Pelodiscus sinensis: one gene and its partner. The protein of the gene in region 2 interacts with the protein of the main gene of each other region in a biochemical or structural test. Links are inferred from orthologs where the notes say so. Each region holds a gene or a part of one and is shown on either strand. Other genes may lie near its edges. The genes, in order: tyrosine-protein phosphatase non-receptor type substrate 1-like and MATK.

Evidence for each region.
Region 1: the proteins of MATK (region 2) and tyrosine-protein phosphatase non-receptor type substrate 1-like form a complex in vitro, tested with the Homo sapiens proteins (3 studies listed by BioGRID, with this or other methods). The link is inferred for Pelodiscus sinensis from reciprocal best matches to the Homo sapiens genes MATK and SIRPA.

What each region holds. Positions count from the first base shown.
Region 1 is NC_134728.1:2,957,326-2,965,997, reverse strand, and holds the start of tyrosine-protein phosphatase non-receptor type substrate 1-like, read right to left. Parts: upstream 4,246-8,672; 5' UTR 3,805-4,245; intron 3,700-3,804; 5' UTR 3,691-3,699; coding exon 3,609-3,690; intron 155-3,608; exon of another isoform or gene 1-154. UniProt on the Homo sapiens protein: Immunoglobulin-like cell surface receptor for CD47. Acts as docking protein and induces translocation of PTPN6, PTPN11 and other binding partners from the cytosol to the plasma membrane.
Region 2 is NC_134729.1:30,053,021-30,062,515, forward strand, and holds the start of MATK (megakaryocyte-associated tyrosine-protein kinase), read right to left. Parts: upstream 3,916-9,495; 5' UTR 1-3,915.

The DNA of each region.
Region 1 (8,672 bases), on a different chromosome or scaffold from region 2:
CAAAGGTTTGAGTGAATGATACTCCTAGCCCAGCAAGGAGACAGCAGTGTGTCCGACACCACGACCTCAGCAACATATCGCCTCATCATGATTTTTGCTTGGCTTAGAAGACCAGTACGTTTTTTGATACCTGAGGTTTAAAACTTCCTGTTTTGTGAGTCATGATTTTTTTCTTTCTCCTGATTTTCAAGTAACGGATGCTAAGTGGGTTGGGATGGGTTAAGCTTTAATTGCTGGAGAGCTGCAGCGACTGTCTAAATTCTGGGCCATAAAAATAGCTTTTCTTCAAAAGCAATTTAAAGCAACACTGGAAGCAGCACTGTGAGTGTTGCTAAGAGAAAGGACCTCACGCTAGTAAAGAAATGCACAGCTGGCTGGAATATTTGCAGTCTGTGTCACTGTCACTAGAAAGAGATAATTTCAACTAGAGAAAGAGCCCAAAAATAATTCCCTGCTACAATGCTTAAAATTTCCCTCTGCAATGAGGCTACACAGCTAAGAAAATTAGCAGGTGCTTGCTATAAATGAGCCTGGCATTTGCAAGTCAGAAAAAGGAAAAGAAAGCTAGAGATATATTTACACAGGGCTATATGGGGCCCCAGACAGGATTGCAGGGTTGCAGGAAGGGTGTATTTCACAGGAGTGGTATGAGCAGAAAGCATGTGTAGTTCATGAGGGCAATGTTCTTCACTTCAATAATTCTTACTTGTGATTCTCCCCCACTCCCTTCTCCACAGCACTGGCAGAACCACAGAAATGTGGATTTGAATCTCTTATGCTTAGATAAATGGGATCCAGAGAAAGCAGCCCGGTTCGGGAAAATTGTTGTTGGGGAGGTGAAGGGCAGTAGTGGCCTTGATTTGGCAAATTTCTAGTTTGAGGGCAGCTTTACTAGCAAGCAGCTGGTGTCACTTTTTGGCAGGAAAGAAATATTCTGGGTTGTGTCTTTTCCCCCCACCCACTCAGAAACCTCGTGGCAGCTCTCCCGGGAACCTGTCTACCTTTGACTGAGCAGTGGCCACAGACTAGTGCATTCAAGTGTATGAAAATGGACAGACACCGTTGAAAGAACCCCTCCCTGAAAAGTTTGCACAGAATCCTCTCGCTGACAGACTAGAGAGAGGTTCTCTCACTGTCTCCTTTGAGTCATGATCAATGACATTGCCTGGCTCATGGACTGGCATTAGAGGTGGCTGGACATTAGTGTGGGCTCGCTACTCCAGCATACAAAGGCTTCCTAAGAAAGCCAGGCCTTGATTTCGGTCACACAAGTGGCCTTCCGTGGTGGATTAACTAACTGCTCAGAGCTGTCAGAGAGGGAGCCGGGTTAAGGAGTGAGTTGCAATTCAAGCTTCTGCCATGATAAAATTGTGAGTTTTGAAGGTGTCGGCAGACTCCTTGTTGTTTTTAATGCTGAGAGATACAGATAAAATTACAGCATTTCAGCTGCAAGCGAAGCACCATCGAAATGCAACAGTAACTACACGGTTCTATTCTTGGTGGAGGAGGGAAGTTTTTACTGACACTGATGGAGGGAAGGGAGTGAAAAGAGGGAAGTGCAAAAGGCAGGAGAAATAAACAAATTGAGTAAAGAAATGCACCATGATAGCGCCGTCCACGGAGCTCAAAAGTCTTTTGTGAGCATTAAACAAATCATCTGACAGAGTCAGTATTGTGAGCCAGGCACAGTACAAGTGCCTAGATTAGGCTTTGTCTACACTAGCAGAGCCCTACACGGATACAAAACTTGTGCTCACATCTGCAAAAATGGTCCAGGGATATCTGCAACCCCCTCTGCGGGTGTGGAGTGGCTATAAAGTGGCTATCTGCAAATTTGCACCATTCTAGAGAAAAAAAATTGTATCCGCAACCATATCCATAAAAACGCGCCACGGATGTCTGCAGCCACAGGTGCGGATGCCCACGAATACAAATTGCAGGGCTCTATACACTTTTGCTGGCAATTTTTTAATCTGTCAGGGTGTGAAAAAAAACCCCACACCCCAACTGCCATAAGTTTTGCTGCCAAAAGTGCCGGTGTGGACAGTGCTATGTTGGTGGGAAAGCTCATTCTGCCAACATAGCTACAACCGCACCTTGAGGGTCGTTTAATTGGAGTGGCTGAAGAGCTCTCTCCTATCAACATACAATGGCTACATAGGAAGCTGTACAGCAGCACAGCTGCGCCGCAAGAGGGTACCTAGCCTAGACCGGGTCAAACTCAGCTTCAAGTCAGTGAGTGCAATTCCCCTTATGATACAAACTTCATGGTGGATTACTAGAGCCAGAAAACGGATGCAAAGTGGTGAAAGTTGCGCTGACTGGGCATTCAGTGATTGTGCAAAGTGAGTGAGATTTGCACACTCTGAGCTGCAAAAAGGAGGGTACGGCTCGCAAAAAGCAACTAGCAGGACTGTGTAAGAAATCAGACAATGACAGCGGTGCCTGTTTTACAGCTTCCTGAAAGGGCTCATGAAAATCAGTTTGGAATATGATAGGATGTATTTAAAGACATTCCCGAATAATTCCCCATGTGAATTCTCTTATTCTGGACTAAGACTATCCACACGTGGAGTTAACCAGGAGCCACGTCCTGCGTATACGTGCCCTCGCGGCTGCCGGTTGGTGTGTAAAAAACACAGTCCGAGTGGCAGATTTGTGCCATTTTGACCAATTCACCCAGCCTGCAGATCGCAGCAGCCATATGCACCAGTGACTCGTGGTAGCATCCCAGTGCCCTCCACCAAAATTCTCACTGCTAAATGGGGTGCCCCCTCCCTGCACCCCTCTCACCTCAAGCACTAGCTGCCTATAGCTATCCCAGCAAGGGGCCAGTTCTAAGCCTGCCCAGTTGAACCCCCAGTGCCCGGTTTTCACCAGACCAGGGGGTGTTTACCTGGTGGCACAATCTCTAGATTACAGAAAAATCAACTCCTCCCCCCCCCACCACCACGCACATTACACAGCGCAAGCCAGACCCCCGTGGACCCAGGGGAGAAGCGCCCAGGTTACTCCCACAGCAGCCCAGTTACAGCCCCCCCCCGTCTTTAATGTGCCCCCTCCCCGGCTAGGGCGCTGCGGCAGCTAAAGATCAACAGACAAGCTTGCTGGGGGGGGGGGGCGCCAGACACTCCCGGGGGGGCAGGGAAGAGTCGGGGAGCAGACACTCCCGGGGGGGGGGCAGGGAAGAGCCGGGGGGCAGACACTCCCGGGGGGGGCAGGGAAGAGCCGGGGGGCAGACACTCCCGGGGGGGGCAGGGAAGAGCCGGGGGGCAGACACTACTGAGGGCAGGGAAGAGCCAGGGGGCAAACACTCCCCGGGGGGAAGATACTCCGGGGGGCACGGAAGAGCCGGGGGGGGGGCAGGGAAGAGCCGGGGGGCAGACACTCCCGGGGGTCAGGGAAGAGCCGGGGGGGGCAGGGAAGAGCCGGGGGGCAGACACTCCCCGGGGGGAAGATACTCCGGGGGGCACGGAAGAGCCGGGGGGGGGCAGGGAAGAGCCGTGGGGCAGACACTCCCGGGGGTCAGGGAAGAGCCGGGGGGAGCAGGGAAGAGCCCGGGGGGGGGGGCTCACGCCAGCCTGCCCACCGGGAGCAGCATCACTTACCGGGCCAGGCGAGCAGGCCGAGGAGCAGCAGGCAGGTGAGCCCCCGGGCCGGGGCGCGGGCGCGGCGGGCGCCGGGCTCCATGGCGGGCGGCTGGCGGGGACAGAAAGGAGGAAGAGTCGCATGAAGGGGCCGGCTCCGCTCGGGCTCAGGGCCGCCCCCCGGAGGAGGAGGAGGAGGAGGCGTCGCGCCCCCCACCTGGGCAGCCGGCTCGGGGGACCGGGCGTCGCTCGCCGGCCCGCCCGCTGCAGCCCGGCCCCTGCGGCGGGTGTGTGGCCGCGGCGCGGGCTCCCGCTCCGGTTCCTGGCGCTGGCAGCCCCCCCGGTTGCCTAGCACGGAGGAGGCGGCTTCCAGGCACGTACCCGGGCGCAGGAACAGCCCCCCCGGGCCGCCCCGATTTAAGGTCGCTCGCCGGGCGGGTGCAGCCCCGGGCCGGGCTCCACACCCCCCTGCTGCGCTACGGTCATCCCGGAGCAGCCCCGCGTTGCCGGCTTAAGGTGGGCCGGGCGAGTTCCCTCCCCCGCGCCTGGCAGCTGCTTCTGGGGAGGGCGCGGAGCGAACCGCGTGCCCCCGGCGTCGCCCTTTGGCTTTGCCCGCTGCTGTCACTTCCTCCGCCAGGGGAGCCCTGGTCTGCCCCGAGCCTGGGGAAAGGCTGAGGAAGGAGGGCGGGAAGCAGAGGGAGTGAGGGGATGGGCTTCCCAGTGGTTAGAGCTCCAGTCTGCAACTTGGTAGACGGGGGGCGCGAGTCCCTGTCGTACCACAGCTTCCCTGCGTGCCTCGATTCCCCCTCCGTGCACTGGGGGTGGCAGCCCTGCCCTGCCCCTCAGGAGGACAAGCAGGTGGAATCACATTCTTGAGGAAGGGGCTCAGAGATGTCAGTGGGCAGCATGGAAGTGCTGTGGGGCAGGGCCTGGCTTGTTCTGTGTCTGTGCAGCACCTATCACAATGTATCCAAGGGGTAGCTCAATGTATCCAAGGGGTAGCTCAATGTATCCAAGGGGTAGCCTTGTTAGTCTAAATCTGCAAAAGCCATGAGAAATCCTGTGGCACTTTATAGATTAACAGATTTATTGGCACATAAGCTTTCGTGGGCAAAGACCCACTTGTCAGATGCATGTAGTGGAAATTCCAGAGGCAAGTATAAATACACAGGCATAAGAAAAGAGTAGGATCAAGAGTAAGGCTGGAGATAACGAGGTCAATTCAGTCAGGGAAGATAAGGCCCACTTTTTTAGCTGCTGATGTGGAGGTGTGGAAAACCAAGAGAGGAGAAACTGCTTTTGTAGTTGGCTAGCCTTTCACAGTCTTTGTTTAATCCTAAATGGATGGTATCAAATTTGCAGATGAACTGTAGCTCAGCAGTTTCTCTTTTAAGTCTGTTCTTGAAGTTTTTTTGTTGCAGGATGGCTACTTTTAAATCTGCTACTGTGTGTCCAGGGAGATTGAAGTGTTCCCCTACAGGTTTTTGTATATTGCCATTCCTAATATCTGATTTGTGTCCATTTATTCTTTTACGTAGCGACTGTCCAGTTTGGCTAATGTATATAGCAGAGGGGCATTGCTGGCACATGATGGCATAGATCACATTGGTAGATGTGCAGGTAAATGAACACTTGATGGTGTGGCTGATCTGATTAGCTCCTGTGATGGTGTCGCTGGTGTAGATATGTGGGCAGAGTTGGCACCGAGGTTTGTTGCAGGGATTCATTCCTGAGTTAGAGTTACTGTGGTGTGCTGTATAGTTGCTGGTGAGAATTTGCTTTAGGTTGGCAGGTTGTCTGTGGGCGAGGACTGGCCTGCCTCCCAAAGCCTGTGAAAGTGAGGGATCATTGTCCAGGATGGGTTGTAGATCACTGATGATGCATTGGAGAGGTTTTAGCTGAGGACTGTAGGTGATGGCCAGTGGTGTTCTGTTTGTTTCTTTGTTGGGCTTGTCTTGTAGTAGGCGGCCTCTGGGTACACATCTCGGCTCTGTTAATCTGTTTCCTCACTTCCTCAGTCAGGTATTGTAGTTTCAAGAATTCTTGGTGAAGATCTTGTAGGTGTTTGTCTCTGTCTGAGGGATTGGAGCAAATGCAATTGTACCTTAGTGCTTGGCTGTAGTAGACAATGGATCGTGTGGTGTGTCCGGGATGGAAGCTGGAGGCATGGAGGTAGGCATAGAGGTCAGTAGGTTTTCGTTGTAGGGTGGTCTTTATGTGACCATCATTTATTTGCACCGTAGTGTCCAGGAAGTGGCTCTCTTGTGTAGATTAAACAAAGGATTAAACAAAGAGGATGTGTCTAGACTAGTCAGTTTTTCCGGAAAATCAGCCGCTTTTCCGGAAAAACTTGCCAGCTGTCTACACTGGCCACTTGAATTTCCGCAAAAGCACTGACTTCCTACTGTAAGAAATCAGTGCTTCTTGCGGAAATAGTATTCTGCTCCCGTTCAGGCAAAGCTTTTGCACAAAAGGGCCAGTGTAGACAGCTCAGATTTGTTTCCGCAAAAAAGCCCCGATCGCGAAAATGGTGCTTTTGCCGCAAAAGTGTTTTTGCCGAAAAGTGTCCTTGCCAATCTAGACGCTCTGTTCCGAAAATGCTTTTAACGGAAAACTTTTCCATTAAAAGCATTTCCAGAAGATCATGCCAATCTAGGCGCAGCCAGACTGTGAAAGGCTAGCCAACTACAAAAGAAGTTTCTCCTCTCTTGGTTTTCACACCTCCACATCAGCGGCTAGAAGTGGGCCTCATCCTCCCTGACTGAATTGACCTCGTTATCTCTAGCCTAACTCTTGATTGCTACTCTTTTCTTATGCCTGTATATATATATACCTGCCTCTGGAATTTCCACTAGATGCATCTGATGAAGTGGGTCTTTGCCCATGAAAGCTTATGCACCAGTAAACCTGTTAGTCGATAAGGTGCCACAGGACTCCTCGTCGCTAGCACAATGGTGTCCTGCCCGGACGGGGACGCTCAGGTGCTACCATAATACACATTTAATAGTCAGTTATTAGAAGTGGTTGGCACTGCCTTAGCGAGAAGGGTAGGAAGATGTGGGGGGCTGGGAACAAATGGGGTGAGAATGGAGGAGTTGTGGTGGAGGGAGGGGGAGTCTCTTTGCAGCCTACTGGAGAGAGCCCCCCGCCACCGGCAGCCTCTTGTTAAATTCTGAGGGGAGAGGAAGAATCCCTGCCCCGATGGCGCTGACCCCACTCTCAGACACACCCACCCGCAGCAGACAAATCCCCGGCACCCCATCCTTCCCCCCCGGTGATAGGTCTCCATCTCCCCTCAGACACCTCCAGCCACACTGCCCGCCCCTCTGACGCCTCTGGAGCTAAGCGGGAACCCTTCCAGCCAGGGCATTCAGAGGCGTTTGGTTGCCAAGTGGTACCAGGTCCCTCCCTGGTGTGGCGATGAGAAGAGCTTTGTGTGAGAGGGAACGATGAACAGCTTCCCAGCTGAGCACCCTGCGACGTGCCGTTTGTCACAGGCCGGCGAGGAACATTGCCCACCAAGGGAACAAAAGCCCCAGGTGGCGAGGGAGAGAAGGGGGGAGGAAGATGGAGGCGCTGGGCGGGTGAAAAGCGGCGGAAGAACAGGGCAGAGGAAGAAAGGGAAGGGAGAAGGCAGAGTCTGGTTTGCTCTTCTCACCGTGCAGTGTGTTTCAGGGTATGTCTACACTGCCATAAAAACCCATGGGGATGAGTCCCAGCGGCTAGGTCAGCTGATTCAGGCTCGGGCTATGGGGCTAAACATAGTGTGGACATGTGGCTCTTAGCCCCACCCGCTTTGGGGTGTCAGACCCTGAATATCTACACTGCAGTGTCATAGCCCTGCTGTCCCAGCCTGGAGAGCCCAAATCAGCTGACCTGGGCCAATGGCAGCCACATCACGGGGCTTTTCTTGCAGTGTCACCACACCCCCAGTGATGCGTGTCCTGCGGGATTCCAGGCCCACAAGCATGGCATTGCTATGCTACCGCGCTTCCGAGAGACCCTCCGGAGTGGAGGGAGGCAAACAGTCTCCACTGTTCAGATCTTGGCTTTCTCTCTGCACTTGGAAAACAAGGGGCCAGTTGTGGCCTGGGCGTGCCTACCTGGAAATGAGCAATGATTAACTCCTTTAACAATGGGCATACCATCTACAGACATGTTTTTGTTAGTCTATAAAGTGCTACCAGACCATTTGTTGCTTTTTTCTGTAACAGATTAACTCGGCTACCCCCTGAAGTTCCTTTAACAATGGTTAGCTGCAGTGTTTCCTCCTTTTCCACCCCAACTTCTTAAAGTTTTCCCAGCTACAGGCTAACTCGGCTCCCCCTCCGAAGCTTTTTTCCACTCATGTGCAGAATACATTTTGTGATGTGCACTGAGGCATGGGCAGATGTGCACCACCATTAGAAGGACACGCTGCTGGCTGCGTGCAGCTGTGCGTGCTCTGCTAATTAGCAGGGTGGCATTGGAATGTCCCCCGGGTGGCTGCCCAAGCACTTATAAGGAACACTGGTCACAGTTGTCATTTGCGACCGATTTGGGTCAGAACAGATGGCGATGTAAGGCTGTGTCTGCCCAGCAGGCCCTGCAGGAATTCACTGCTGTACCTGAACCTATCCAGCAAGCAATATGAATGCACAGCACAGCAGTCATAGGGAATCAAAGCTGGGGAGAGGCAAATATTTGGGGGAGTCTTTGCAGCTGTCTTAGCTGCTTGTCTGAAAAAAAATCCTTGATTAGGGCCAGAGAGACCAAATATTCTTATGCTCACACTGAACACAAATCCCAGCTAGCGACTGTCCCATGCTAGATTTCAGCTAGAGAGTGGCTGCAGACCTTGCTCCATGAGTGCTGTCTAGATCAAGACTAATTCCAAAGTTCTGGAGAAGTTTGCTGTAATTCTTCCAAGAGCCTGGCTTGCAGCCTCCCTCCGCCCCCATTAACCGTAACACTCCCCCTTGGGAGGATGAGAGAGTGCCGCATTTACTCTCTTGATTAGTATCGAGCTGTAAACAAAAAACAAAGCGGTCTCAAGTGATTTGGAACCCCCCAAGCCATGCATATTATGACTTCATGTTCTTACCA
Region 2 (9,495 bases):
CAGCAGATAGCTAACATGCCAATTTTTAAAAAAATTTCCAGAGGTGATCCTGGCAATTACAAATCAGAAAGTCTAACTTAAATACCAGGCAAATTGGTTGAAATGTGATAAAGAGCAGAATTACCAGATACATCAATGAACCCATCATGACGGGAAGGGGTTAATACGGCTTTTGCAAAGGACAATCATGTCTCACCATCCCATCTGCTAGAATTCTCTGAGAGGGGCCAGAAAGCATATGGACAAGGATGATCCAGTGAATTCAGTGCTGGGGCTCAAGCAATTTTTTTAATATTCATAACTAATATGCCAGCACTTGCCACCTTGGAATTTCAGAAAGCCCTTCCCAAAAGCCCTTAAGCAACGGAAGCGATATTGTGATAAGAGGGAAGGGCCTCTCATGGACTGGTATCTGGTTAAAAGACAGGAAACAAAGGGTAGGAATACATATTGGTTTATAAAAAGATAGATTGTCGAGTCCCAACGAGCTGTATTGGGACCAGTGCTGTTCAAAATCTTCATAAATGACCTGGAAAAAGTGGTAAACAGTGAGGTGGCAAAGTTTGCAGATGATACTCAAGATACTTAAGTCCAAAGCTGGCTGCAAAGGGATCTTTCTGAACCAGGAGTCTGGACAATAAAATGGCAGGTGATACCCAATCTTGATAAATGCAAGTAATGCACATTGGAAAACATGATCCACATACAAAATTCTGGGGGCTAAATTGGTTGTTACCACTGCAGAAAGAGATCTTGAAATCCCATGAAACCTTTTACTCAATGTATAGCAGCAGTCAAAAAGCTAACAATGTTGGGAATAACAAGGAAAGGGATGGATAAGAAGAAAGAAAGAAAGAATCATAATGCCATTGTATACATCTATGGTAAGTCCACATCTTGCATACTGTGTGCAGTTCTGGTCACCCCATCTCAAAAAAGATCTATTAAAATGGAAAAAGTACAGAGATGGTAATAAAGAATATTTGAAACAGCTGCCATAAGAGGAGAATAAGTCTGGTCATCTTGGAAAAGAGATGACTAAAGGGATATCTGATAGCGGTCTATCAAATGATGAATGGTGTGGAGAATGTGACTAAGGAAACGCTAGTTCTCCCTTTTCACAACATAAGAACTAGGGGGTCACCCAATGACATTAAGAGACCTCAGGTTTAAAACAAACAAAAGGAGTACTTCACACCACACACAATCAGGGCAACTCATTGTCAAAAGATATTGTAAAGGCCTAAAGTTTAACTGGATTCAAAAAAGGAAAAGTTACTGGAGAATAGGTCTATTCATGGAGATGGTCCCTAGATGGTCAGGGACTGACCCCATGTTCCTGAGCCTCTGACTGCCAGAAGCTGGCCTGGATGATTTGTTGATGACCCTGTTCTGTTCATTTTCTCTGAAGCATCTGGCACCGAATACTGGGGGAAGACAGGATATGGGGCGAGATGAGCCACTGATCTGAATCAGTCTGGCCAGTCTTACGTTTTTCTGATGTTCTTCAATTCACAAGCATTCAGGAGAGGGCAAATCAATTGTGGGTTTTTTCTTTTTTCCATTCACCTACCTCACTACAATCAAACCAAAGTCATGGTCAAGGAAGGGAGCCTGTTACCACCATCACAGGAGATGAAGCGGAAGCAAAGCCTACTGAACGAGGCACAAAACACACCCATGAGGCTGACCAAACCAGCCTGTCAGGTGGAACCTGACCACTGGACGCTGTTATCTCTGACCACGCTTCCCTGGAGGAGGCTTGCTGAAAGCTCAGGTGTGAATGTTGCTCTGCTGAGCCAGAGGCAGCAGGCAGATCGGAACAGCAGGTCTTGCTATAGCACTGAGAAAGCGTTGAAGCATCACGCACAGGAAGAGGACAACGATGCTCTCTACTGGCTCCTACCTACCAAAGGGAGAGCACTTCTGGCTCAGCTAGGAGTGATCAGTCCTGCACTGGCGGGGGTCGGGGTAGCTGGGCTTACAGGTTTCCAGTGATTGTCATGCTGAAGGAAGTTGGCTGCTGGCCAGCCCTGGGAAGAACAAACCAGAGGGCAAGTTTCTGCACCCGACCCAGCCTCTTGTGAGACTGGCTCAATGCAGCCATTGCTAGGTTAAGAGGGGGGTTCACGACCTCACGGTGGCAGTTTTGATGATGCAAGTGCCTGGTCTACCAAGCTCATTCACAGGAGTCAGCACCCGGCATCTTGGGAGGGTTAAAGTTGGTTGTTTTGGTCCCTTGCCGTTCCCAAGCGGTGGGAAAGGCCTGACAGTAGGCGCGGGTCTGTGAGACGCTTTGTCTGCATGGATCCCACTGCTGAGATTCATGGGCCCTACCGGTGGAAACCTCATGCACAAATAACTGAAGATCCATCCAGATGAGAAGCTCCTGTCCAATGCCTCTCATGACCGGCAGTCCCGATCTGTCGGGCCTAGGGGACAGGAAACGCTAGCCCCGACCCAGCGGTGGGCAACCTGCAGCCGGCCAGGGTTGTGTGTGTGGCTCGTGAGATAGTGCTGCCATTGCCAGATTCTGCTGATTTTCATCCACATCGATTTTTCCTACCGACGTGACCCGCACATAAAGCCAGGGCGTGTGAAGTGAGGAGGGCGCTGACTGTGAGAGCTGCGCGCTCCCCCGCATCCAATCACAATGCTGCCACGGCTCAGTCGCTCCATCCTGCAGTGAGCGGAGCTACCCCATCCCAGGAGACTGCCCTGGCGCCCACAAACTTACAGTCCACTGAGATGAAGGAGGGCCGCTCGTGCAGCTCCCCCACTAGGCTAGGTTGCCCCTCCCAGTCCTGAACTGTTCCACCCCTTTGGAACCACTTTTGATTGCTGTAGCCTGTGCAATTGCAGGTCTCTGACATGCTCCTGGAGATATCGAAACATACAGCCCAGCCCGTTCACTGCGTAGTCCTGCCTGGCACAAGTGCACTGGACAAGTGTCTGCATCAGTGCAAACAGCAGTGGAAGAGCTGGCAACTGTGCAGACAGGTTACAGGAAACCTACCCACAGCTCGGTGTCAGACAGCAGACTGGCGGTGCCGCACACACTGCCCCCCTCCCATCTACCCACCACATGGGGTCAGACGGCTCCCTGAGCACAAGCACCCGCTGAGACAGAGGGCAGCTTATTGTCTTGCAGCACCAAGGGGAGGACACTGCTGTTTATCCCGCTGAGTGTAGCACTTTGAAGGTCCCCAGCGCTTCTGGCCTCCTGGAGGGGAGAAGGTAAACGTATTACCCAGCCGCGGCTACTGCCCTAGCCAGACCCTGTGCTTACCTTCCTGCAGCACCCATGCAAAGCCCTTGGCACCAAAGTCGTTGCAGGTTTGCTCACTGCCAAGCCAAGCCCAGACCTGAGTCGCAAGAACTTGTAGAATAAATTCCCAGTTCAAATGATGGAGCAGAACTTTACCTCCTGCGCAGCCGTGTTCACAGAACAGCCACTCTGAGAAACTCCTCTCCGCTTTATTTCCTGATTTCTCTTTGAGGCTGGGCTGCAGAGGCAGTGCCTTGGAGGTCCTAGTGCCTGCTTTTATGCAGCCAGTTTTAACCAGAGATGATTCAGTCTTCGATGACGCTTTACCCCGAGGTGACTTTAGCCCCCTTGCTGCACAAGTTCACATCCCAACAGAGGAAGTATCAGCAGCTGTCTGATTTGAAACCATGCAGCAGTTTGTGACACCCAAGCAAACTAACAATCAGCTGATATGAAACAGTGAGTTATTGTTCTGCTACTCCCTGTTTTGTGGTGGTGCCCACACAAACGTCCCAGACATTGTGCTCAGCAAGTGACAAAACGAGAATTACCGTGTGGCAGGGGAGATTTTGAACATTTTGGAAGGAAAATGTTCTGGCCCTAGCCCATAGGTGTGCGCAGCACATCTCATTAGGGTGTGCCCCAAAGAATTTTTTAAAAATTTACTTTGACTCCCATTAGCCACAACCCTGACCCCAGTTAACCACGCCCGACCCCCATGGGCCACACCCCCTGACTCCCATTAGCCACAACCCTGACCCCAGTTAACCACGCCCGACCCCCATGGGCCACAGCTCTGGAGGTAACACTCTGGGGGCAAGATGGACACATGGCCAGAAGTAAATGGTGTCATGTGACCCCCCCCTAAGGACTTTTCCCACCATCCTCCTACCAATAGGGATTAGTTTGCCTCCCCCCCCAACTATCTGCAGTTGCATTACCCCAATGTGTGTGACCTGCCCTCCTCCACCAGCCCTTCTCTCCCCTGTGCCCACTCCTCCAGTAGCCCCACTCTGATCATGTGAGCTACCCCTCCTCATCCCCCCTCCTAACACCTCCCCTGCCTCTCTCCCCTGGTGCTGGTCCCTCCCCTGCAGGTGTCTGCCCTTCTGCTTCACCCCCAGAATCCCCTGGCACCTGCACCTTCCCTTAGCCCTGAACCCTCCTGGTGCCTCCCCCTTCCCTCACTGCCCCTGCCCCCTTTTTCCCTGATGCCCACCCCCTCACCTCCTTCTGCCCCCATTCCCCTCATGCCCCTGTGCCCTCGCACATGCCTTGCTCCATCCCCGCCCTTCTCATGCCCACCCCTTCTTTCAAGCCTTTTCCCAGCACCTCCCCCTCCTCGCTCTAACCCTCAATGCCCCTCTCCTCTCCTAGCATCACCCTGTCCCCCCTCCTCCCCTCCTGCCCCTTCCTCTTCCACCTCTTCCTCGTATTTTCCCCCCTTCTCCTCCCCTTCCTTACCTTACCTTCGGTTTCTGCCTTCTGATTCCTGGGGCTGGAGTCTGAGCTGGCCCAAGCTACAGGCTGGCCAGGCCCTAGTCTGGGCGCCTCCAAGGTGCCGCGTGGTGCTGCTGGGCGGGGCGAGGGCGCCTCCAGGGAGCCTCAGTGGGGCCGTGCGGTGCTGCCGGGCTGGGTGGGCGCGTCCCCAGGGCACTGCGTGGTGCTGCTGGGCCGGGCAGGGTGCCTCCGGGGAGCCTCACTGGGGCCGCGCGGTGCTGCCAGGCTGGGCAGGGGCGTCCCCAGGGCGCAGGGCGGTGCTGCCAGGCTGGGGGGGGTGCCCCTGGGTACACAAAGGGCGGTGCTGCCGGGTCTGGGGTGCAAAAATGGCTCAGGCCAGCTGGTGTTTTCGGGCCTCCGCCCCAGCTGCTTCTGGAGCTGGGCCACACGGTTTGAAAGTCCCAGGCCGTGACGTCATGCCACGCCCGGGCATCTTACCTCTTGCGCGGCGTTTGAGCACGCCATGCATGCTCCCTCTCTGCTCCACAGTGCCCTGGTGATGGCTGTGGGGAATTTAAAGTGAGGGGCTGCGGCGCCTCGTCACAAATCCCTCTCCTCCTCCAGCAGCCGCTAGCTGGCCGGAGACATTAGGGTGTGCCTGGGTTCACCCCATGCGCACGCCTATGCCCTAGCCCAATCCCCGGTGACCACTTCCATTTTTGTGCCCCAACATCTGTGAAGGGAAAGAATACCGACCTACCTCCTAGGCACAGCATGAGGCACAACTAATGACTGCACAGCACAGACAGAGCCTTACATGACGAGAGCTGTAGAAGTGTAATGCATTAGCCATATGCCGTCACAGCTTGCACCCCCTTTGGGTCAGGATCCCTAAATACCTTCCCCCTTCTATTATCCCTGAAATGAAGATACTCCTGTTACAATACCCTGTGTCCTGCCATAGATCCACTGATGTCGGTGGAACAGAGCAATACCAATCCACCCCAGCTGAGCAGCTAGCCCCTGCTACTTGCAGCGCCCTGTGTGATAACAAGCAACCTGCTGCAGTAAATGCATCTGCTGAATATTCTCCACTCTGGCTTACGACATGTCACTGGGGAAATGACTGGAATGGATTTTACAAGGATTTACAAACCAAATTCAGCATGAAGAGGCACTTGGATTTGGTCCGACGTGCAGCATTCATGCTACCATTGGGTTAGAAAGTTGGGAAGGGTTTTTGCAGCCTTTTCATTGCAAGAAAGTGGCAGTGAATGAAAGGGGCAAGGAAGCAGTTTCCTAGCTCTCAGCAAAGCACAACAGTAACTAGTTATAGAAATGTAGCCGCGTTAGTCTAGTGTAGCTGAAACAAAATTTTCTTCCACAATTTGATCTGAGGAAGTGGGTCTGGCCCACGAAAGCTCATCACCTAATAAACCATCTTGTTAGTCTTTAAAGTGCTACATTGCCCTGTTTTTTGTTTCAACAGTAAATAGGACACTGCACACAAATCTAAACCAACCTTCATTAGAGTTTAGACTCCACCATGTCTCTTCAGAGTCCCACCATGAATCACAAACTGACTCATTGCACTGGACTCCAGTATCAGAGGGGGAGCTGTGTTAGTCTGAATCTGCAAAAGTGGCGAGGAGTCCTGTGGCACCTTCTAGACTAAGTGTCGGATGCATGCCTCTGATGAAGTGGGTCTTTGCCCACGAAAGCTCATGCTCCAACACTTCAGTTAGTCTCTAGGGTGCCACAGGACTCCTCGCCGCTTTTGCACTGGACTGTTGATGATGTTAGCACCAAAAAGATGCAACTGAGCTGAAAGCTTCACTGCACTAGGCATTGTATTAAAACAGCAAGAGACTGTCCTTGATTTAAGTAGCCAAAAATTGAGAGAGAAAGGCAGAGCTTTTATCCTTCTTTTACAGCTGGGAAACTGAGGCAGAGAAAGACTAAGAAACTTACCCAATACTGCTCAAAAAGTCAGTAGAAGAGTTGGGCAAGAAACTCCTGTCCAGCAGCTTAGCCACTAGCTTTTCCACGGCATCTCCTCAGCACTAGGTGAATAGTTGCTTCAAAATCTGTGTGGGGAGGGGAATTATGAGAAAGATGACCAAAGGCATGAAGAGGAGAACCAGGACGCACCCCTCAGGGTACTCTAGTTTTTTGGCACAGTGCTGTCTCAGATGTCTCATACGTGCTGACCATCTTGTATCACATTGGCAGATGAACTCTGGACTTTGATATGCTCTGTGTTTAGAATTTGAAGTTCTTCTCTTGCTTCTCCCTACACTCTTATCATCTTAAGCCAGCACATAAACATGAACTAATCTGCAAACTCATTTCCTCATTAACACAAAACACTGAGCTACTTGGTTACTGAAGGAAATCTTCTAGAAGATATGCCAATCAGCTAGCAAAATAACTCTGATAGGTCACAACTGCCTAAAAAGCAGAATGCAAATCAAACCAAAGAAGGTCTAAGCACGGGAAGAACCTCTGTGTTTGCTACTGTTCCCTGAACTGCCTTGCAGACTGACAGCAACTTGAATATGGCATTTCTGTAGCACCTTGGCATGGAAAGCAATAATTCTACTCCTCCCAAGATTATCACCACACTGTTTTCTTGGAGGTCAGGACCTTAGCTCATCCTAAGGAATGCATCATCAGCTGCAGTCAATCCATCCATTTCTAGTGCTGGGGGAATTCTGCAATTGCTGCATTTGGAGCCAGAGTAAAACTGCAGAGTCCCCCAGGACTGACTAATATAAACCAAAACCTTTGTTCGTAGGAATTCCAATTGACCTGTTTGCTTGGAGAGAAAAATCACTCTAATTTGAGATTATAGGTCTTTTCCCCAGATGTGCAAAGAAAAAAGCAACTGAATGTGCGTTTAACAGGAAGCACAGCTGGGTTCTATTTAATGGTGAACAGATCAAGTATTTTCCAGTTAGTTAAAACATAATCCAAGAATTTGCTTTTGAGATTAAAATGCTGAATGCTAAAAACCCAAACCAAACTTTTAATGGAGTTTGTACAAACCAGGTTTAATGAGTATCTGAGTGTGAAGTTGAAGTGATGAGAGCTTGGGATAATTACCATCTATCCAATCACCTACCGGACTTGTAATCACTTGCTAGTCGAGAGGTCCTCAAACCATCGGGCACACAAACATTCTGCGGGACTGCGGTAGGGCCAGTCTCATAGGAAGCAGGAAGAACAAGCACCCAGCTCCACCCCATCCCTAGCCAGGGACTCAATCCACCTGCCTGGCTTCGTCTTAAGACTCGGCTCCATGCCCGGCAGTTGGCCCCCACCACAGCCTGGCTGCAGCTCCTCTCCTAGCCCAGGGTCAAGATTGGGGTCAGGAGTGGAACCATACCCAGTCATGGGCAAAGCTGCCAGCTCCCACTGTGGTCTGGGCTGCATGGTGGAGCTGGGTGGTGCCCACACCCAGCTGTGGCCTCCTTACCCCACAGAATCATAGAATACTGAACTGGAAGGGACCACAAGAGATCAACAAGTCCAGTTCCCTGTACTCATGGCAGTGCCAGGCACCATCTAGCGCATCCCCGACAGGTGTTTTTCTAATCTGCTCTTAAAAATCTTCAGTGATGGAGAGTTCACAACCCCTCTTGCAATTTATTCCAGTGTTTGACCACCCTGACAATTAGGAAGATTTTCCTAATGTCCAACCTAAACCTCCCTTGCTGCAATTTGAGCCTCTTGCTTCTTGTCCTATCCTCAGATGTTAAAGAGGATAATTTTTCTCCCTCTTCCTTGTAACACTCTTTTAGGTACTTGAGAGCTGTTACGTCCCCTCTCAGGCTGGTCTACATTAGAAGTTTACAATGAATGTAGCTGTATAAGGTTGATTTTCTCAACAGTATGTCCACACTACCAGGTTTGTCTTGTCAACCGTAAGGGCTGCTGAAGTCAGTGTTGGGTATTCCTTATTTCATGAGAAGTAACAGTCCTCAAACTTGCTGGTTAAATTTACGGTAGAATAGACCCAGCGTGGAGAAAGTTGAGGTTCTTGGCCTCTGGGAAGCATCCCACCATGCCCTGCTCTGACTGCTCTGGCCAGAACTTTTGCCTCAACTGCTCTCTGTGAACTGGAAAAGCCCTGGGAAAGTCTGATTTCATTTCCTGTGTGGCCGAGCAGCATGGGTAGCCATGACTTCAAGTCTCATGAGCTCCAGTTCCCAGGGATGCAGAAGAGTGCCAGCATGGAGTATGCAGGAGAGCTTGGATCTCATTGAGGTGTGGGGAGAGAAATCCATTCTCTTTGAGCTCTGAACCAGCAAAGAAATGTCGCTAGCTATGTGAAAGTCGCAAAGGCCATGGTGGAGAAAAGATACGCCAGGGACGCCCAGAAATGCAGAGTTAAAATAAAGTAGCTCAGGCAGTTCTATCATAAAACAAAGGAGGCGAATGGACGGTCTAGGGCATCACTGCACACATGCCCTTTCTACGCTCAGCTGCATGCAATTCTGGGGGTGGGGATGGGGACCTGATCGGTTTCCCAAGCCTGACTGTGGAGTATGGCAAGGACACTCCTGGCAGCAGCATGGAGGACAGCGTGGTAACCATGGCAGAAGGCCAGCCAGAGAGCAGCAAGAGCCACATTTTTTTATGTTGGAGCCTATCCCCTCCTCTCAGGACAGCTCCCAGTTGAGCACCAATCCCACAGAGGGCACTTCTGGTGAGTTCACAATTTTTTTCTTACAAGCAGGTTACGGCAGTTGGGTGTGATGTGCGCTGTACTCAGGGCCTACACA